Linked DNA regions of Xenopus tropicalis. The protein of the gene in region 6 interacts with the protein of the main gene of each other region in a pairwise test. Links are inferred from orthologs where the notes say so. Each region holds a gene or a part of one and is shown on either strand. Other genes may lie near its edges.

Region 1 (3,500 bases), on a different chromosome or scaffold from region 6:
TAAAAATGTATTTTGGAGAGTCCTATGTGGCTTAAATTAGTAATTTTAGTTTGGCATTTGTAGCATTAATAGACATTTGTCAGTTTTTTTGGGGGCTCAGCACTTAAACAGTAACTGCTACATGATCCTTTGCTGCAGGATCCATGTACAGTACAGAATACTTCACCTGTCCAGGAAGAGATCATCTCTGATCAGAGTGAACTTACGGAAGCACTGAACTTTCAAGATATTATTGCATCTGATACCAATTGCCTACAGGAACATTATATTACCTTGGAACCTGATTCATACCAAGATCAAATAAAGTTTCAACAGGTCAGTTAAAGAAAGTTATACATTGAAAGCAGTTTCTTATGTATGTATGCATATATGTAAATGTTATTTAAATAGTGCTACTTATGTACACAGGGCTACATACCAGCAGAAAATATACCTGTGCAAAACAGGTCATCTTTCCTAAAGATTAGGGTCAATAAAAAGATTTCACTGTTGGGCCAAGTAATCTACTTACTGTATGACAACTTACCTGTCAGCTAGTCAAACAATTTAAGAGCTTCATAGGCATACTGAATGTTACTATACTATTTGACCATCTGATGTTATATGCTTTTTTATAGGATAATCTTTATTGCATATAAGCAAAGCATAAATGTTTTCTCCATATTTAAATTGTAAGTAATAAAAAGGTACATGCGTAAGAATAGACCCACCCCACCACAAACACAGGGAATATTTTGGGGCAATCCTGGCTACATAGATGTTGCTGTAACTAATATAAACTTATTTCACAGGTTTAAATTTGATAATGAGTAGGGCTACAGTGAGCCTTGAGGCATGTGATGTACCCTAAGCAGAAAAAGAATAGCAGGGTAGTTAACAGTAAACATCAGAGAAAGCAGCAGCAGAAAAAGAATAGCAGGGTAATTAACTGTAAACATCAGAGAAAGCAGCAACACTGATAAATTAGAATGGCATTTGCAATAAATTTTATTCTGTGTGTAAAATTTATTGATAGTGATGATATGTTTCGTACAATGTATTTATAGTATATAAATACCAATCTTCATTGTTCTTAAAGGAAAGAAAAGCAGCACCTGAACATATATCCTATTTCCTCCAACTTCCATGCTGAATATAACAATGTTTTTAATTCTTTCCATTTGATTGCCTACTTTGTTCATTCATTGGCTGATATAACTTAAGGTGGCCATACAGGGGCCGATTTCAGCTGCCGACTGACATCTGGCCTGAAATTGGGCAGCTCTCAGTTAGGAAGGTTCAATTTTCCCGTCGGATTCCGACAGCACCTATGCCTGCCTTTTTAATTCAATTTTTTGGCCCTAGGGCAAAACAATCGTATTAGCCCGATATAGCTCACCAGTATGCCGGCATATTGGGAGCAGATCCTCTTGCTTGGCGACCTTGCCAAACAAGCAGATCTTACAGTGTAGATGTATGTGTTTTTTAATGTGGAATTAGCCACATATTATAACAATAGTAATATAACAGTGCATTTTTTCATGAAAAGGCTTCATTTATATAAAACAGTATTTAACATATGTACTGTGATTTATTTTTGTAGAGACCATCAAGGGTGTAGTAACTTAAATGTGAACTATTTTTAATATTTCTACTTTCCAATCTGGGGAATATATTTTCACCCTTCTTTTTTCCCCTAGGATGTTACACAGTTAGCAGAGGATGATTCTGCTATACAAACAGATTTTGAAACAGGTATGCGCTCCTCTTACTGCAATTTAGCACCACATCTTACAATTTGAATATTATATATAAATAATAGGGGTATCTGTTCAATCCTTAATCTTTAAACACTGGAGGTGCTGTGAGTTCTCCCTTGAATACTCCCAAACCAATCATCAACAAGTAAAGACTCCACTAGGCTACACTTTTTGTACCTAATAAAAAGCACAAAACCTGCTGCCTTCAACTTCATTAAAGTAATGTAACAAAAGGGGCACACATTACTATAGGTCTAGAAACACAATGCAGTCAATCATAAGGTAGCATTTCTGGTAAAAAAAAAAAAAATCTAATAGGCTGCTTTGGGTTTCTAGACCTAAGTAAACTTTGTGCCTTTTATTATATTAACCTCAATGATTTATTAATCTAACAAAATCACAATTTGAAAATTCTTTACCAAACATTAAAATTTATAGGCATTCATTCAAATGACAAGTTCATTATTTATTCCCTTAATAAATCTCAGACAATATTTATATATGATATTATATTATAAAAAGCTATTAATACATCATATGTGACATTATATTACAACAAGCTGTGAATATAATTGCTGTGGTGTACATGTCAGAATTCTTTAACTCTTCAAGTGCCAACTTCTCAACAGGTAGAGAGGATTTTTGAAATATATCTTACTTGTTTTGAACCTCTTCCTGTCTGGGGTGGCAATACAAATGTCTTAGGTCTCAACTGTTTTAGTTCTCAGTTTTCTTTCAGGGTTCTTGTTTCTTGCTTTGGGATTTATGCAAGGCCCAATTCTTCATCAAGACCCTGAGTGCCTTTTTAATGGTTTGGAGGCCAGACATCTTTTGGGTCAGGTGGTTGATACATTACTTAAGGCTAGAATGAGTGTGGGAAAATTATTTGTTGCCATTTCAGTAGAGGGGTTGCTAGTAGTTTTTGGACTTCCTTTAGTCTGGAAAAGTTGCTAAAATATTGAAAAAGTTCATGTTGGGAGTTCACAGGGCTTAGAAACCTATGGTGAAAAGCATGCTTACATTTTCATCAACTGGCTTTGCAGTAGCTGGCTATACACCGAAAGACCCTCCCTTTTTCCTTGATGTGCCCGCCTTAAGGTGAGTGATATCAGATTTGGATCACATTGATGGGATGCAGGCTAATGAGGTGAGGACCATGTATGAGCCAATGCACCGGCAGGGATTTTACACCTGACTGAACAACATCTGCCTGAAATATCTTTGATCTTCATGCAGGATCCCTACAGGAAATAGACACCCTAAAGAAACAAATGCAGAAGCTGAGAGCAGAAAATCAGGAGTTAAAAGATAAAATACAGGCGAGTACATGATAAGCAAGGTGAACATTTTTGAAATTCTAACACTATGGACTGAATCTCAATAAATAACTAATTTTGTCCTTTCAGATACTTGAAAATTATGAGCGGGATGAAAGTGATATGGAAAATTCTTCAGACTTTATTCCACTCATCTTGTATGACTCCCTTCAGAGTCAATATATGCTTCTGCAAGAGCAGCTTAAAGAAACCCAGAATGAGCTGCATGGTTTGCAAAGTTCCACAGAGCAACTGTCCTCTCCCTCTTGCAAACTGATCCCTGCTGATGCTTATGAACAGCTCCGTATTGAGCATGAAGCTCTGAAACAATCCTTTAAGAAGCAACAGACCGCAAAGGGTCTAGAGCAGATTAAGAATGAGGAGGAACTGCAAAATATGGTGGAAGCTAGTAGGCTGCTACAGTGTGAGAAAAGATGTAAAGAAT
Region 2 (4,097 bases), on a different chromosome or scaffold from region 6:
TGCCGCAGTCATTAATAAGAGGCGTTTGCTCGTTTTCTTTCATGATAATAACAAGCCTCATTATCCCCCCGCCCCAGGCAGGAAGAAGAGAATCGAGGCTAAACTTGCCCCTTGAAGGGGTTAAAAGTTGTTGTTTGTAATTCTGCCCGCCCCCCTAACTCTGAACATGACTGCCCCAACATGCGCAATGCCTAATAGTGATGCACATTGGCCCCTTCCTCCTCCTGTACTGGTGCGAATGGAGCACAAACCTTCCAGCTCCCACTGGCAACTCCCTTTGCACATTTTAGAAATACACTTATATATAGATACATGTGTGTGTGTCAGCCCTCCTCCTCCCACTGCCAAAAGCAAATTGACAGCAAAGCCAAACGCGCACCCCGCCAGCCCTTCAGATGGTTACGCATCTGCGCTTGTTACCTTGCTCTGCTTGGGGGTCTCCTCACTGGTGAGATTAGCTCAGGTTAAAATAGGGGAGGATCCAACGGGGGTGGGGGGAAGAGAAAAAACCCAGAAAAGAGCATGAGCCTCCCAGAGAAAGTGCGCGGTGTATCATTGCAGAGTGTATCCAGAGCCGCTCTCCCCAGCCTTCTCCCTCTAGGAGTGGGTACAAAGTAACTCCATGGCTGTCATGCACAAATAAAAGCTCCCCCGGTGAGATGGACGTTCCTCACTCCCGTATCAGATGGCCGCTGTGTCTCTCACACACACTTCCTCGCTGGGCTGCTGCACAGGATCCCCGTAGCCATCCCCAGATGCGTGTGTGTGTTGATATGAATGCTCGCAGCCCTGTTAGGCTCCTCGTAAAGGGGGTGGGTGCTGCGAGGCTTTACTTTCCGCTCAGTCCTATGGCAGTGTCATGCTGGAAGGGCTTTGGGTGCCTGTAGGAGCAGGTAGGGGAGGGGGTGCTGCCTGGGTCCCTCTCTGATTGGGGGTTCGAGCTGACAATCCTTCATGTGTTTGTGACAGGATAGAGTTAAATTACGTTTTTGAGAAAAAAAAAAAAAAAAAGCTGCAGTATCGGATTGCGCTACAAGTCAGATCAGGTTGGTTTCGCAATGATTCTCCCTCCCCAGCAAAACACTTTTTTCTTCCAATTCCCCCCTCCCCTTTTTCTTTTTCACCCCTTCTCCTCCAAAGTACGGCTTCACTCCCCCTTCCTAGCCCACTTTCTTATCCCCCAGCACAGCACTCCTCCCCTGCTTTGCCTTCACTTTATCCCAGTTGTGCTCATTAGTTGCACTTGCACCCCCTTGCCCGGCCCCCCCTGTGCTGCCCCTTCGCTAACTCTTCTTTCCGCGGAGCCCTCTCCAGGCACAGGCGTTGGGCACCACCAGCGAGCAACCTTACAGGAAAAAAGCTTTTGGCGCCATGTTAATGACGTACTTCAAATTTGCCATTTCTCCTGCGTCAAAAGAGGTTTCTGAAAACAGGAGGTTGATTTGGGGTTGGGATACGAAGGGGAGGGGGGTCCGAGGGAGGAGAGAAAGAGGCAGAGGAGGGACTGGGGGCTGGACACCCCCTTGCAAGTGCGAGAGAAGTCAGAGGCGGCGGGGTGGGTTGGAGATTCGAGAGTTTTATTGGGATAGGTGAAAGGAGAACGGAAGGAAAACTCTGAATTTCTATCCCCTAACGCCCCAGCTCCTGCGCTATAAAACAGTATATAGCATGGCCGCCCAGAGAGGGGTGCGACTAAGCGCTATAGAAATATATAAGGTCGCTAGCGCTTGTGACGATGCCCGGAGGCGGAAAGATCTGTAGTCACGTTCAGGGGACAGCCCTTAATTCGACAAGTGACAGCCTTTAGCGCTCCAACTAATGTATAAATGTCCCGCCGCTGAGGTGGGAGTTATTGTTCCTGCACGGAATAAAGCGACGTGCGAAAAGGTTGTCATTCATTTACTGAGTTGGTGAATTTGGCGCAATTATTTATGAGCAGTACACTTTATGCTTAGAGGGGATTAATGTGGGTATTGCGGATAGACCCGAATGTAAGGAGCCGGTGCTTTATAATAAGCTGCACTTAGGGCACCGGGAAACTTTCTCTGCTTATTGCTCATAATGTGGCGCTGATCAGCCAGCGCTCGAATAGTTACGTGACATCTGCAGGTGTTTCCTCTGCCCCCTCCCCCGGGAGAGCCGCTCACTGAGGGACTAGTAGGAAGGAGCTGCTGGCGGGGCGATATGTGCCGCGGGGAGGGGAATAACAGCAAACGCTCAGGCGGCTCCACCTTTACATTGGTTTGTTCTTGGGGCACTTGTTTCTTCGTTTCATATATACTTAATTTTCCGCTTATAAATGGCTCTGTGAAAACAACCTCCGTTTCCCGCTTTGTCGCCTACCCCTTACGTGTTGGTATATCCCTCAAGCGATCAGCTCTGGATGCTGCCTCCAGCGTAATGTAATGTAGGCATAACCTGGCAAAGCTGGGAAACCTCGCATACAAAATATCCTTTTTAACTGGAGCCATTTGGTCGGGAACTTCGTGTTCAACATAATGTTATAAACCGAATCTTTTTCATAGGCGTCCCCTGCCCTTGTCTGTGTTCATAAAGGCCAATCACATATTTTTGGCATTACTCATATGGTGTTATGCATATATTCTTAGTAAAGCGGCTTCATACTTCTCATTCCTATATAACACATGAACAATTACACAAAAATTCAGCAAAAATATATAGGGATGCACCAAATCCACTATTTGGGATCCGGCAGAACCCCAAATCCTTTGCAAATCAGGCAATGAAGTACCAATGAGAACGCCAATGAGAAGTGGTTAAACATATAAATACATATATATATATATATATGTATTAGGAGGTTTAGTTTACAGTAAACAGTACTTGAGGGGACTACTAAGTATGAGCATACTGTACAGCCCCAGTTTATGTAAAAGACATATGCTATTGTATTAATAAAACTCCATTAAATAAGGTGATGTTATACATTGTTTTAAATATGTAAACAGTAAATATATCTTATACACAAGAGCCGTGATTATCCTGTAAATTATATCCTTATATATGGTGCTTGGTGATGTCATCAGTTGGTGCTTAGTAATGTGATATGTGACTCACTGGAACATGTGTATTATAATAAATAATGTACCCCCTGTTGTAAAATATGAGGATGTTAGAAATTACCTTGGAATTACATGACTTTTATATAGTCATGGATCTCCTAGGGGACTTCATATTTTACAATAGGTGTTACATTGTTCACTATAGAGAGAGTGAGTGGGAGCAGCAGCTCTTAACCTATGGGTCAGGTCCCACAAAAGTGTCCCTGTACAATTTTGTGACTTCATGGTCCTCTTTTAATAGTAATTACAATTCATTGAATAAAAATGTTTAATTCTATAAAAACTTATGTGGTTTTCTTGAGAAAAGGTTTAGATCACATGTCCCATATGTAATACAAGGCACTATGTTTGCCCAGTAGCAGTAACCCATAGCAACCAATAGGATGTTTGCTTTGAAACAGGTGACCAGTAAATTCTACCTGCTGATTGGTTGCTATTGGTTACTGTTCCTGGGCAAACTTAGTGCCTTTTATTACATAACCCCTAAATAATGTTAAAATTGGAGGTGCCAGTTTGTTTCTTTTCAAGGCTTTATTAATCTGTGTTGTTTAGTTGTCCCCAGCTTTATACATACGTGAAAGGTATTCATTTTTTTAGTTTTTTTTTTTTGTTGTGGTTGGTTCTTTAGTGCATCTAAGGTATGCCCCAAATCAAGTATTTTTTTATTTGTCCGAATGCTGAATCCTTTACAAAAGATTCTGTTGAATATCAACACTCTAATCTGCATGCATATTCAGATCTGACAAAAACAATTGAAAAATTGCATCTTCTAGGAACAAAAAAGTATCATGTTTAGCTGTCCAAAGCAGTAAAGTTTTGTGGGTTTTAACTCAGTTTAGCTAAACAGTAGGACTTAGTGTTATCTGAATCCTTCAAAAGAGTGCTGGGAATTTGGGCCAAATCCTGTATTTTGGTTAGGGATGTACCGAATCCATTATTTTTGAATACCAAACCAAATCCAACTCCAAATTTGCATATGGAAATCAGGCTACTTAAGGGTTAAATAGATGCGCA
Region 3 (3,500 bases), on a different chromosome or scaffold from region 6:
TCCCAACTAAGATATAATTACCCCTTATTGGAGGCAAAACAATCCTATTGGGTTTATTTAATGGTTAAGTGATTTTTTTGTAGACTTATAGAGATCCAAATTACAGAAAGATCCCTTATCTGGAAAACCTCAGGTTCTGAGCATTCTGGATAACAGGTCCCATACCTGTACCTTGTTTTTGATGAGCATGTCCATCAGTAGAATGTGCAGCACCTTTTTCTTCACCAAGCTTCCCCCAAGACAAGTTTTACCTCACTCATTATATAGCCTGAGGGTGTTATAAGGCACCTTCCATTAAGGTGGTCTAACTGGGGCTAAGGCATTCCTGCATTTCCATGAAGAAGACCAATAAACCAAATCGATACATGTAGAAGTGGGAAGTGCTAAAGCTACATCTCACATCCATTCATATCGACTCATTTGGCCACTGGTTAAATGCTTTAACAAAGAATGTGACCTTCAGGCTGTGGGGAAGTCAATAAATGGGCAAATGCCAATGTATAACCACCCAAGTTCTCTACTAGATGGACATATTCTTGGAGAGAACTTTTAAATATACCTATAAAAACTTCCCTATTGCTATACATATTGTCTAAAACTCAATCTCCCACTTCAAGAACTTCAACCAACTTTTTTCTAATAATGGTTCATAGCTGGTCATCTTAGTAGTTATATAATGGTTACTATATATGGGACATACAAATATTAGGACTGTTATGTGATTAGAGTCTGGGCTAATACATTTATAGCGTATTGTGTGAAGATATCATATCTTCTCTGCACTTGATAATAAATGATAATCAATGTGAGCATTAGTTTGCTTGCTTTGACAAATCTATCAGTGCTCTAGACGCTTGATTTTCAAAAACAACCATTTATGCTTACTGTTGTCAGCTACAATCTGTTCTTATTTCTGTTGAGACAAGCAATATGGCAGCTCCAATATGGCTTGTGAAATCTCAGCCTTTGAGACATTTTGCAGGCCCTCATTGGTGGCCACTCACCCTTTTCAAGTTAGCGGCAGCTTCTCCAGAGCGAATGGCAGCCAGTAAATTCTGCCGGATGAGTTCTGGGTCAGAAGTGTCAAAAGATACAGTAGTCTTTTTCTCTGCAACTGGTGGCGGGCTATGCACTCTGTATTTTATTTCAGGGGTTAGTGTCTAGAATAGAAAACGACTCACATAATAAGTCTTGTTAAGGTTAAACAAAGTGATTACGGGTAACAAAAACAAGTACATCAACATTAATTTTCACATATAACAAATATTGTTATCAAAATGTTTATGTAAAAAAACAGAAACATTAAACAAAATTAAAAAAGGAGTTCATTTTCGTCGGCTTTATTTTGTTCTCACTGGGATATAGGCGCTTACAAGTGAATCTCTCTAACTGGACCAAGGCCGCACCCTCGAGATCATTACTCGAAGAAAGAAAAAGATAATGCCTACTAAATTAACACCAGGTCTCAGGCATTAACTGTTTAGGTTCCAGCAAACATTGAACATAAAGTGCTGATATATTTCTCCTTGTGCCATAAGGTTCAAAAATTACTCTGTACAGCCCCCAGAATAAAATACATGCAGGTTTATTTTGCTTCTCTATTACAAGCAGCTGAACTGCAGTTATTTTGGTTACTTACTTGCCCTACTGGGCATGCTCACGGCCTCTGCTCCAATTAAAATCAATCAGGCACACGCATTAGGCACCTCTTTGAGGTCATCACAGTTAGAGAGAGAAGGAGGGCTTCGAAAGTTAAAGGGGAGGAGCTTCACGCTAGACAAGGAAGTAACTAAAAGAACTGCTGTTCAGCTGCTTGTAATAGAAGGACATAAAAAAGAACCTACAAACAGGTAGAAAGGTATGTTATTCTAGGGGCTATACAGATAAATTGTACAGATAAAAATTGGGGGTTTAATAGGTATACTTATTCTTTAAATGGCTAGAATAGCGAAGAATCCTTATGTATGAGACAGTGATATCACTTAAGACTTTGGCGGGTTCACGTACAGTATCCTTGAAAAGATTATGTAGACTTTTTAAGAGCCTTGGGACATGGAGTCAGGATATATTAGAGCAAGAAAGACAAACTTCAGCACTCAATGTTATTGCATGATGAGAAAATTATGGAGTTATTTGCCCCATTAAGAGGAACTCTGACCCAAAATTTGTTAAAGAGCCCCACACAACACTGAAACCCCAAATATACGTAGCACTAAACTGTTTGCTAAAGAATTATAAACAAATACCATTTTTATATGCTGAAAACCAGCTGCAAAACAGTTCTTCTCTTTCTGCATCGTTTGAAATCCTGGCAGGGGAGGAGGGACTAAAACACTGATGTTGCTAATTGTTGCTAACTTCTCCACAGCTTACAGACAGCATGCAACTACATAACCTACAATGCATTGCACTGTGATGTTCCTTTCCTTATCGACATCCCATGTGCAGGGAATTGTGGGACTTGAAGAAAGCAGGCCGAAGGCAGGCTGAGAGCAGTCGACTACTGTTACATACTTTTTTTTTTTATTTGAGTCTCAAAAGTAGTCAGTCAGATCAGCAGGAGAACAGGGGGCTTAGAGAACTGCTCCAAACCATATTATTACATTAAATATCAGGAAAAGGCTGCACATGTTTAACTTGAAAGCTTACTTTTCAAAGAGCTTAAGTTGTATTTGGGTGGAGTTCCCCTTTAAATATCTTCAGTAAAGTTATACCAGGATAGTGCTACAGCAGGCTAAACAAAGTTAAACACAGGTAGTGACCTATTAAGAAATATAATTGGTGTTACTAGGGGTTCGGACTTTAATTTCTCTCCTCCATAGTTTCAATAATGAGTTATACAAATCTATGTTCTCTTTGAAGCAGACTTGGGGATGACCAAAATGAACAAAAGATATTACAGGTATGGGATCCCTTATCCGGAAACCCATTATCCAGAAAGCTCTCCCATAGACTCCATTTTAATTAAATAATTCATAATTTTAAAACTGATTTCCTTTTTCTCTGTAATAATAAAACAGTAATTGTAATTGATCCCAACTAAGATGTAAATAATCCTTATTGGATGCAAAACAATCCTATTGGGTTTAATTAATGTTTTATTGATTTTTTAGTAGACTTAAGGTATGGAGATCCAAATTACGGAAAGAGCCCTTATCCAGAATACCCTTGGTCCCGAGCATTCTGGATAACGGGTCCTATACCTATATAATAATTACCATGCCATGCTTTAACTCTCTCGTAAATCAGTTGAAAAGGTGAAATTTACAGTATGATTGATGTCAGCCCAATATCAGCAAAAATATTTTCTGTGGAGCAAAAAAACCAATACTGGATTTCTGGAGTTGTTTGTACAAAACAGGAATTGACAGCTCCTCATATAAACGGGTCACTGGCCAACCTTGAATATACAGGGGCCAAAATTTCACATAGTGGTCCAACAGCTCACCCTGTAGGTCATTTGGAGAAATTACAGCGATTTAAGGGATTTATGCCCTACT
Region 4 (3,500 bases), on a different chromosome or scaffold from region 6:
TCCTTTATTTAATAAGGAAATCCTATAAAGATTTAGCAAAATGTATATTTATAATATTATCATTATATTAATTTGACTGTTATATTAAATCTTTATTCTCATAAAGGACTGTTGATATAAATAGATTTATTTATGCACTGTAAAGGTGGTCATACACTGTAAGATCTGCTCCTTTGGCGAGGTAGCCAAATGAGTGGATCTTTTCCCTGATACGTTCACCTAAGTTGGGGGGTATCAAGCTAATCTGATTTTTTGGCCCTAGGGCCAAATGATCACATTAAAATGAAGGGGTAGGAGCCATCAGGGGAAAGGATTGCATCAATGCCCTGACAGGAAAATCAAACCTACCTGATCAGGGTGGCCCATCGGGGGTACCCATACAATGGCAGATAAGCTGCCAAATCAGTCTAAAGGACCAGTGTATGGCCACTTTTAGTCCCTGACCCATAGTGCTTATAGACTAAATTTGGTGTCTTGGGTACAGGGAGATTAAGAGCTATGCCTAGAGACACAGAGCTGACAAAGTCACAGGCTACAAGGTTATTAATTGCCACTGGTACAAGGGACAGGACAGCCAGACCAATCAGAGTTCCAGAGCCGCATCACTTTCAGATTTACAATGAAGAGTGTGAAAAAGCTTTTATTAGAACTAACAAGGATCTGGTACCTGTATATTAAATGTATATGTACGGGGCAGGGACCTCCTTCCTACTGTGTCTCATACCACATGGCACTTACTCCCTGTGTATTATTTATTGTATTTATTATAACACTTGTCCTCCCTGTGTGTAATTTTGTATATTGTAAGATTGTACAGCGCTGCATACCCTTGTGGTGCTTTATAAATAAAGTTATACATACATACATATGTATAAAGGAAAGTAGTGTTTCTTAATTGTCATGTCTTCAGTAGTTTGCTCTTTTGTTTTCCCATGATAGAATCCTTTCATGCTTGGTGGAGGAGAAATATTTTATGATAAGTCTCCTGGTTTCAGAAAATAACTGAAGCTCCTCCCACTTACTCACCAAATGATCATTAGTTACTTTCTGCTAAAACTGCTCATTTGGGCCATCTGCCTGATCAAGCTAGGTAAACTTTTACCATGTTACAGTATAATTCTAAATGTTTTCTCCTTTTCAGAATAAACACACAGTTAATATATGTGTCACATGTTTGCAGACAACTCTTTTGGTTTAGAGGAACTAAAGTTCGAGTACTACTTGCCCTTCAAGAATTGTTAGCAGACTTTAAAACATATTGATTCCACTTACTCATCAAGATCCTCCTCCTCTTGCCTAGCTTTGTTAGCGTAGAGGTACTTGCTCATATCCACAGGGCGGGTGTTTTTTCTCTTTGCTGGTTGAGGTGGAGAGTCCTTACTAAGCTCAAGGACCTGGTCTTGCTCTGTATCAGGCTCATCAAAAGGATTTATATAAACTGCAGGCTCAGGTTCTTTAAAAGGATTGTAGTCATCAAATAAGTCGTCAGACTTTGAAGGTGCTTGCTCAGAAGGATTTTCTAATACACAAACAGTCAAAATTATTTCAAGGGGTAAGTTAATCATTAAATAAAGAAGATCATATTAAAAAACTAATTTGCAATCTCTAGAAGCAGAGCTAGGCATTCAAATGTGAACAGAATTACACCTATTAAATTGCTATATGCTAATATGCTTTTATAGGTATGGGACCTGTTATCCAGAAGGCTCGGGACCTGGGGTTTTCTAGATAAGGGGTCTGTAATTTGGATCACCATACTTTTTCTGCTAAAAAATCATTTAAATCATTTAAACATTAATTAAACCCAAAGGACTGTTTTGCCTCCAATAAGGATACATTGTATTTAGCTGGGATCAAGCACAAGGTACTGTTTTATTATTACATAGAAAAAGGAATCATTTAAAAAATGTTAAATAATTTGATTACAATGGGGTCTAGGTGAAATGGCCATTTCACAATTTGGAGCTTTCTGGATAACGGGTTAAATGGATACTATGCAGAAAATTTATAATCCACAAAATAAGGCCCCCAGATTTTGAAAAGATACAGGCATTATTTCAATATTTCAGGTGCTGTTCCGATATACTGGGGGTCATGCATAGGGTTAGCACTTCACAGCACTTCAGACATGGCTAATTGCACAGTAAATATTAGTTATATGGCTAAATCCAATTCCTATAAAACTGCTTGCAAAATAACTAAATATTAAGATACACATGGATAAAAGTTGCTCATTTTACTCTGATCAGCTAAATTCTCAGGACAAATGTGTCAGAAACAAAAGCATCTCCAAAATTCTGTCTTTACCTTCTGCGTCAGGATCGCCAAACGGATTAAAATCAGCCACGTCAGAGCTTTCAAACGGGTTGGAGCTTGAGTTCATCAAATCGCGTTCCTCTTCATCCAGAAAGTTTAACTTATTTATAAGTTCTAAGAACAAACAAAGACATCATTCAAATCCCCAAGAAGGAACAACAAGAATAGTGTAACATGGGCATCGGCACATTGTGGCGTCACTACAGGTGTATGTAAACATATGCGCTCTGCAGTGAATGCAAAGTTAACCAAATGAAATGAAAAGATCATGCCCACGTAGAAACTGAAAGAAACAAAACATAGCACATTAGGCATAACTGGTGCCTAAAATCAATGATTACTTAATAGCGAACTCACATTTCCACATAGAAGGGCACATGCAGAATCAATGGCCCGGCAACCTTTAAACCATACAGTACAAACACAGGTGTACAGTTTTGCTGCAGAGAAGGTGAAAGCTGCATACACAATACATGCGGAACTGTGTGTGGCTGGTGTCACCATGTGCTGGAAGGGGTGTCTTGTGGAGTGAATTTACAACAAAGCACAATATGCTGTGCTGCCAATCTGTGAGGAAATATGCGCTGCTTCTGAAGTGGCGGAGATTCCTCTGTGCAGTGTGGAACTTATGGTACATTCTAGTTCTACATTCAGTTATAGAGGTCACAAGGGAAAATTGTACATTCAATTGAATGTTCAATTGTAGGAATGTTGTTAGCCCACCTCCTCTCCCTCATTTCATGTGTAAATCAAAAATATCCAGCTAAAGCGGACCTTTAAATATGAGAATACAGATTAAGGACACCACTAAATATTTCTGATTTGGATTTACAGGATAATGAACCACCAGTCTAAGGCATGCTTTTGTATCTACACAAACTTCTAAATAGCCTCTTCTAGCCCCTTTAAATATTTAGAGAGTGTATATAATACTTTCTAATCTATACCCAGTGCTGACAGGCATTTCTAGGGGTGTCCTGGCAGAACAGCACTAGTCCTATCTGTGTTACTATGGGTACTTTAAGAGCAGGCCAATGTTAGCAAGCATTGCTATGGGTACAACATGAAAACATTACAAGCACTAGACATGTTAGAGTTGCTATAAAGTTGCTCTCACAGCCTGCCTGTGTATGTTGGTCTCACAGCAGATCCATAAAAGCGCCTATTAGTATTGCTCTCATAGC
Region 5 (3,500 bases), on a different chromosome or scaffold from region 6:
TGCTTCTATTAATGTACTTTTTTCTTCAGACTTCATCTACTGTATCAAATGAGCTTCAGTCTGTGAGAAATGCAGAGCCTGTCAAAGAGGCAGAAAAGGAACATAATGTGCTGCAATCAATTCCACCTCCACCATTAATGCCTCCTCCACCACCGCCGCCACCTGTGCTAAAATCATCTGCTATGGTGTCTCCTACCACTACAGCTAACTCTCTAAATGCAAGGGACGCCTTAATGGAAGCTATTCGCTCAGGTGCTGGTGCTGCAAGACTCAAAAAGGTAGTGTAATGCTACATGCGGAATGTTCTGTATCCTCTGTAAATTTATTTGGCAGTACAGCAAATAAAGTACTTAATTTTTAATTATTTCCTTAAGGTTAGCGGAATTCAAATTATTTGAATGATTTGAGAATAAAACATATATACTTTTTTATGTTGCCTCCACAGAAATGTGCTTTTTTAGCTGATATTAACAGTCTACACCTACAAGAAGGTTGGCAAACTTATCTTGCAACTATATATATATACATACATATACTGGAACAAGGGCAGCAGTCCTAGGATTTAAAGAATTGTGAGCAAAATGTAAATGTAAAAATAGAAAGGTTTATTATTACTCGACTTTTCGGTCTCACACAGAAACCTTCATCTGGAGTGTTTTTCACTCCAGGTGAAGGTTTCTATGCAAGACCAAAACGCAGAGTAATAAACCTTTTATTTTTACATTTACATTTTGATCACAATTCTTTAAATCCTAGGACTGCTGCCCTTGTTCCAGTGCATTTTTTTTTGGTACTGGCACCCAGGTTTTGTTGCTGCAAATGCACCCTATGGACTATTTTATATATATATATATATATATATATACTTCCACTTCAAGCAGGAGTTCCCGCTATCCTGCTGACATATATATATAAAATATTATATGTAAGGACATCGGAACCTGTTGGGGAAGTGCACCACGTTTTTGTTCTATTGCAGGGTGCTGTACTATCACATATAACAAGAATATATACTGTATATATATATATATATATATATATATATATACAGAAACAGAAAGGAGCACACCCTTCAGGCAAACAAGTGCCCTCGGTGCTGGTCAAAAAAATTTAATAGGCAAACAGAGTACCGCACACATAGGGACTTTATGAAAAAACAAAAAAGGTTTATTGAAAGAGATCCGACGTTTCGAGCACCAAACTGTGCTCTTCCTCAGGGACAAACCAGTCCCTGAGGAAGAGCACAGTTTGGTGCTCGAAACGTCGGATCTCTTTCAATAAACCTTTTTTGTTTTTTCATAAAGTCCCTATGTGTGCGGTACTCTGTTTGCCTATATATATATATATATATATATATATATATACATACTGTATATATATATATATATATATAGAATCCAAAGTGGGGAGCACACCAAATAATTGTACTAAACCTCGGTGCCAGAGCAGGGAAATCTTCTAGCCAAGCAAAAGTGTCGGCACTCATAGGATTTGATCATCAAAGCACAAAAAACAATAAAGGCTTATTCAAATGCAAGCGGTGAAATTTATTTCCAACGTTTCAGTCCTTACCTAGGACTTTCGTCAGGGAATATATATATATATATATATATATATATATATATATATATATATATATATATATATAGTATATGTCTGCATTATTGTGTGAGTAAAGATAAGCAACTGTTCCCCACACCGCTTGAGAGGTTAAATGCACACTGTAACATGCATCAAGATTGTAACAGAGAGATCCAAAGAGTGACAGAAAAGCATTTGACATAGTACTTCCACTTCCATGTGTGCACTTGGTTCATTTAGAGAATTTGAACTTTATGGATTTGTTTTTCTTTTTTCAACACAAATTAACTATGAAACTAAGTAACATTACAATACTAATCAACCCTCAGCTGTCATTACCATGCAGTCTGTAAGACTCTCAGATGAAGGAAGCTATTCTGGCACTTAGCTGGGTTCCCGCTCATTACAGCTATAACCAGTTGCCCAAGTCTTAAAACATTGCCCATGATAATAAAAGCATGAGTATAGCCCAACCAGTTACAGCATGGTATGTGATATAACCCATGGCCCAGTCAGGCAAACTGTCCCAGCACTATTGAAGATCCCTTAATGGGTCATAAGATACTGGTAAGATTTGGGGTAAACACTCATTTGCTGTTCTTGAAATTATAACTGAATGACAGATAAACCTATGTTATATTATACCTGTTACCTTGTTAAGAAACTATAGGGGCCATTAAAAAGGTTAGCCCTTCAAAGAAGGATTGAACTGTAAGACCTAAGAAAAACTGCAAAAAAGGGCAGACAGAGCACTGTGAACCTGAGCTCTGGGCTCCATTGGCAAATATGAGGTTATAAATCATTGGTAGCAGAAACCTAGTATTTACTGTAGGTGTGGGTGCCCTAGGTACTGTATATAGGGCAAAGCATATTTTCATTTATCATTTTTTTAGTATATCCTTTGTATTAGCTATGTATTGTAAATAATCCTTTTTGGCAAATATTAAGAGAGTAACTTATTAAATACATTGACCTGTTTTATATAATTAAAAATTTGCTGTACTTTGGGGGGGGGGGACGTAGCTCCAGACAAAAGACAATTAATAAAAAAAATGGACATAGATACCACAGGAGCAGCCTTAGAGCTCACTGGTGCAGGGGAACTTAAATTAAGGTGTTCTAAAGCAGGTCGCATTCAGGCTGGGAACAAGATAAATAAAAGGTTATTTATTTGCAAAATTATCTATTTCTCTGGATGCGCCACAATTATTCTTTTTTGTAGAATTTCTAAACGTAAAATATCATTAGATTGTTCCGTAGATCAGTTAAATTATTTTCCCTGTATAAAAATGACGTAGCTTAATTTCTAAAATATGAAGTTTTTCTTTTGGTCTCCTAATAAATTTGCACAGCAAATACAGGAAAACACACATCCAGGCAGATTGTACACAACTTTGTTGTTTCATTATATTTACCCCCTATGAAATGATGTGGATCAATTTGTAAATTGGTGCAATATGTCCACATTAAATGCTAGGTAAGCATACAAGTAAAGTAGATAGAAACAATAAACATGAGTTACAAAATTCTGTTCATTCCCTTGTGAGTTAAGGAATCCTCTTTTCATCGATATCTATTCCAGCTGGGTCACTGAATGACACTGTTTGCAGTTTACATGTGAAAATGTAGTTCTCAAGTTTATTTACAACCCCAGATGGTCCTTTTCCCACCTCCAGAAGCCAGAGCAAAATATTGTTTAGCCTTGTCCTTTTACCCTTTTTCTGTATCAAGCACAAGGCAAGTACAACACTGCAAGTTTGCAGAGTACATTATGTGCCCACTGAATTCCCAGACTACTAGTAAACACACATCTTCTCTGAAAATTGTTTTTTTGCCAGCGTAATCTCTTAAAAAGCATGACTATTTTTTCAATATTTAGATCTACTTTTATAAAAAGACAAATGTTCATTGGTTATTCA
Region 6 (3,204 bases):
AGTAGGAGCAACAGGACTTTTCAGCTGGCATTCAGTGCATGCAGAGTAGAGATGGAGGCAATCGTCAGAAGTCCACAATTCGGCAGCACGCTCCAGATAGTAGAAAAGCTGCAACAGTTACAGTTTAAAATCATTCAGTCCTTATTAACACATCTATACAGCTTGAGGTCTAGCGCTTTTCATACCAGTGGACTAGTCCTTAATTGGGGGTTTTAGAAAGGAATAGAAAGGATGACCGTAGGACTTAGAGGATGTGATTTACAATCTAAGCTGTTACTTTCAGAAGTTAAGTGGATCTATAAATTTTGTACTAGGCAACCACAAGAACTAAATCGGACATTTGATAAAAGTTGCTACTTTTGAGAGTGGAAATGTTTTAACCAGTGGGCTGCAACAATGTATTTAGTTAAGTGTGTTTTAACATTCCTACAATACATTTTTGCTTAATACAATGTTTGATCCATTAATAGTATACTGAACAATGTTATTCTGATGAACCAGCACATTGGATAGGCTTGTGGAAGATATGTTTATTAATTCATTAATCAATTTATTAATTGTTGTATTTATTTAGACAAATTATGTGGTTATTTTATGGGAGGTTTTATGGGTATATATTTCCTGTGCTGACTAAGGGAAGGAGGTCTCTGAGGAAGTGTGCTAGCATAAAACATGTTAGACTTTGAGCTGTATAGATGTGCTTGCTAATAAAGACTGAACACTTTTAAACTTTAACTGTTGTGGTTTTTAAACTATCTCGGGTGCACTGCCAAATTGTGGATTTCTGACAATTGTGTCTCGCCCTGGCTACAGACTTGGGGCAGGAGCTGTATGGTAAGCAGATTATTTGTTCTATGTGAGAGCAGGGGATCTGACCCAGTGAGAGATCTAAAATTCAGATGCAGGGTCCAGGGCAAGTTGCACTCAAACCATAGAATTTAACCAGCGAGCTGCCCGGGGGAAGGCGGGATCCATAACTGCTGATATTGAATGGATGCCTGGAGTATATTGTAAACTAATTCCTAAATTTAGTGCCTTGAATTCATTGATTCAATCAGAGATGGAGGCAATGCCCTGTAGATTGATTTAGTGTATAACTATATGTGGAGATAAAATGGGTGGGAAAATATTTGAATGACATATTTTACATCAACTTCTGAAATTTCATAGAGCAGTACATATTTATTTGAGGACATGCTGACACACCCATTCGCAGTGAAAGCTCTATGCTGCCTAAACAATGACATCCAGACACCAAGAACTGAAAATATAGAACACCAAGAATTAAGAATACTTTAAATGTATGGGTAGGTTGGCCAGCCACTTTAATCGACTCATTCAAATATATATATAAAAAGAGGTCTCATATAGCTAGAAATAATTCCTAAAATAGTTCAAAAATATGTTAAATAGCCCCCAGCAGTTTAATGGAGAATGGAGTTGTTCATAAAGCAGATTTCAGCAGAAGCTAAAATACAGTCAGTTCAGGGAATGGAGTGAAAATGTCAGATGGACTATAGATGAGGTAATGGAAACCAAAACTGTTAAAACTGTTGTCAGTCTTTAAAAAGAAGCAGATCACACTTCAACATAGTTATAGATAGAGACAGGCGCATGTAGGCATACTTCTATGCAATCATCATTTGAGCCATTTAGTAGGTCAGTATTAGCAACAGAATGACTTGGGTGTTTCCCTGTACCATTCAAAACATTGCCAAACTTCTTTCTGTAAAGACATTCATCCATATCTTAGCCTTTAGTTCCCAGTCTGAAAGTGTTTCCATTAAACGTCCTTAGAAGTGATCAACATCTTGCCAGCCCTCTCTTCAGAAAAGCTAAGTTCTTCTCTCACCTCTGCCGTTTTGTGAGATATATAGCAGTTTGAAGACTTGGAATTGATTTATCTGATATTCAAACCATTATGAGACAATCCACCCATGCTAAAGCACTCAATTCTGCAGTTGGAAATTAATTCTAATGTAGATATCATTTATAACTTCTTATAAATTTAACATATAGGTAACATTTAAATTCTGTATATGACTGATTTCAGAAAAGTAGAAATTACAAATTATTTCTGCACAATGAAGGTTATTTTAAAAGGATATATTGTAATACCTGCTAATCTTTTCTTTTTTCTTTTTAAGGTGAGGAACTAACCAAACTAGAGGATGAAGACGAGCAGGGCTGGTGCAGAGGGCAACTGGACAGTGGGCGGCAGGGCCTCTATCCTGCCAATTATGTAGAGTCCATATAAAGGCACCTGGACACATTAATCAGACTATACATCATCCTTTAAGAAAACTTCCTTTTTCCCCCACTTATGCTACCAACCATACCTCGCAGTCCTGAACTGCAAAAATAGTACTAGTAGTGCTTAGATGGCAGTAAAGCATTATCCTGATATTTCCTGATTGCAATCATAATGGGTGTTTATCTTAACACAATTCCTGCTCTGTCACTTTGTTTTCTACACATATTGACATATTGCACACATCATGTTTTTAATGCATTATCTTTAATGTGACAGGATAAGGTAAGGGCAAGGGATCCTTGTTATATATTCTTATTTGAATATTTGTCCTTTGATACTCTTGACATATTTACACTCTCTGTATTGAGTGTCAGTGTCTACAAAAACTCCTTTTATAGGGTTTAATATTACTTCTTCATAGGGATACAAACAAGATCATTTCTGAGTAGCACTATGTATATCACTTATTTTACCACTTATATTTATTCAAACCAAACTGAATTGGGATAAATATCTAAGTAGCTATTGTGCTCTCATACTAGAAAATCTGCATTTCTGGTTAAAAAAGAGAAATTTGGCTCTTAAAATTACCAGGGGTAGCCATGTGACACCCCTAGTAACATGCCACTGGAGGCTAGTTTTTACTTTAAAGGAATAGTTCAGTGTAAATGGGTAAAACAGAGACTGCACAAAAAAAAAAGTATTTATAATATAGTTAGTTAGGCAGAAATGTAATCAATAAAGGCTGGAGTGAACAGATGTCTAACATAATAGCCAGAACATTACTTCCAGCTTTCAGCCCTCTAACCTCTTAGTCAGCGACTTTGTGGGGGCGGTACATGGGACATAACTGTTCAGTTAGTTTGTGAGCATGCAGAGAGCAATAAAGGAGGAAGTAGTATTCTGGCTATTATGTTAGACATCCATTCACTCCAGCCTTTATAGATTAC

What was found.
Region 1: the proteins of pacsin1 (region 6) and ankrd24 interact in a two-hybrid assay, tested with the Homo sapiens proteins (2 studies listed by BioGRID and IntAct). The link is inferred for Xenopus tropicalis from reciprocal best matches to the Homo sapiens genes PACSIN1 and ANKRD24.
Region 2: the proteins of pacsin1 (region 6) and jade2 interact in a two-hybrid assay, tested with the Homo sapiens proteins (2 studies listed by BioGRID and IntAct). The link is inferred for Xenopus tropicalis from reciprocal best matches to the Homo sapiens genes PACSIN1 and JADE2.
Region 3: the proteins of pacsin1 (region 6) and cobll1 interact in binary tests that used the Homo sapiens proteins (3 or more experiments, as listed by UniProt). The link is inferred for Xenopus tropicalis from reciprocal best matches to the Homo sapiens genes PACSIN1 and COBLL1.
Region 4: the proteins of pacsin1 (region 6) and ehbp1 interact in a two-hybrid assay, tested with the Homo sapiens proteins (2 studies listed by BioGRID and IntAct). The link is inferred for Xenopus tropicalis from reciprocal best matches to the Homo sapiens genes PACSIN1 and EHBP1.
Region 5: the proteins of pacsin1 (region 6) and cobl interact in binary tests that used the Homo sapiens proteins (3 or more experiments, as listed by UniProt). The link is inferred for Xenopus tropicalis from reciprocal best matches to the Homo sapiens genes PACSIN1 and COBL.

The regions. Positions count from the first base shown.
Region 1 is NC_030677.2:94,059,185-94,062,684, forward strand, and holds part of ankrd24 (ankyrin repeat domain-containing protein 24), read left to right. Parts: intron 1-138; coding exon 139-315; intron 316-1,679; coding exon 1,680-1,734; intron 1,735-2,975; coding exon 2,976-3,058; intron 3,059-3,145; coding exon 3,146-3,500. UniProt on the Homo sapiens protein: Component of the stereocilia rootlet in hair cells of inner ear.
Region 2 is NC_030679.2:26,415,334-26,419,430, forward strand, and holds the start of jade2 (protein Jade-2), read right to left. Parts: upstream 2,801-4,097; 5' UTR 421-2,800; intron 1-420. UniProt on the Homo sapiens protein: Scaffold subunit of some HBO1 complexes, which have a histone H4 acetyltransferase activity. Acts as an E3 ubiquitin-protein ligase mediating the ubiquitination and subsequent proteasomal degradation of target protein histone demethylase KDM1A.
Region 3 is NC_030685.2:70,751,680-70,755,179, reverse strand, and holds part of cobll1 (cordon-bleu protein-like 1), read right to left. Parts: intron 1,161-3,500; coding exon 1,005-1,160; intron 1-1,004.
Region 4 is NC_030681.2:33,085,162-33,088,661, forward strand, and holds part of ehbp1 (EH domain-binding protein 1), read right to left. Parts: intron 2,431-3,500; coding exon 2,308-2,430; intron 1,520-2,307; coding exon 1,273-1,519; intron 1-1,272. UniProt on the Homo sapiens protein: May play a role in actin reorganization. Links clathrin-mediated endocytosis to the actin cytoskeleton. May act as Rab effector protein and play a role in vesicle trafficking.
Region 5 is NC_030682.2:60,310,254-60,313,753, reverse strand, and holds part of cobl (protein cordon-bleu), read left to right. Parts: intron 1-29; coding exon 30-278; coding exon of another isoform or gene 279-287; exon of another isoform or gene 288-368; intron 369-3,500.
Region 6 is NC_030678.2:69,277,115-69,280,318, reverse strand, and holds the end of pacsin1 (protein kinase C and casein kinase substrate in neurons protein 1), read left to right. Parts: intron 1-2,147; coding exon 2,148-2,257; 3' UTR 2,258-2,704; downstream 2,705-3,204. UniProt on the Homo sapiens protein: Plays a role in the reorganization of the microtubule cytoskeleton via its interaction with MAPT; this decreases microtubule stability and inhibits MAPT-induced microtubule polymerization.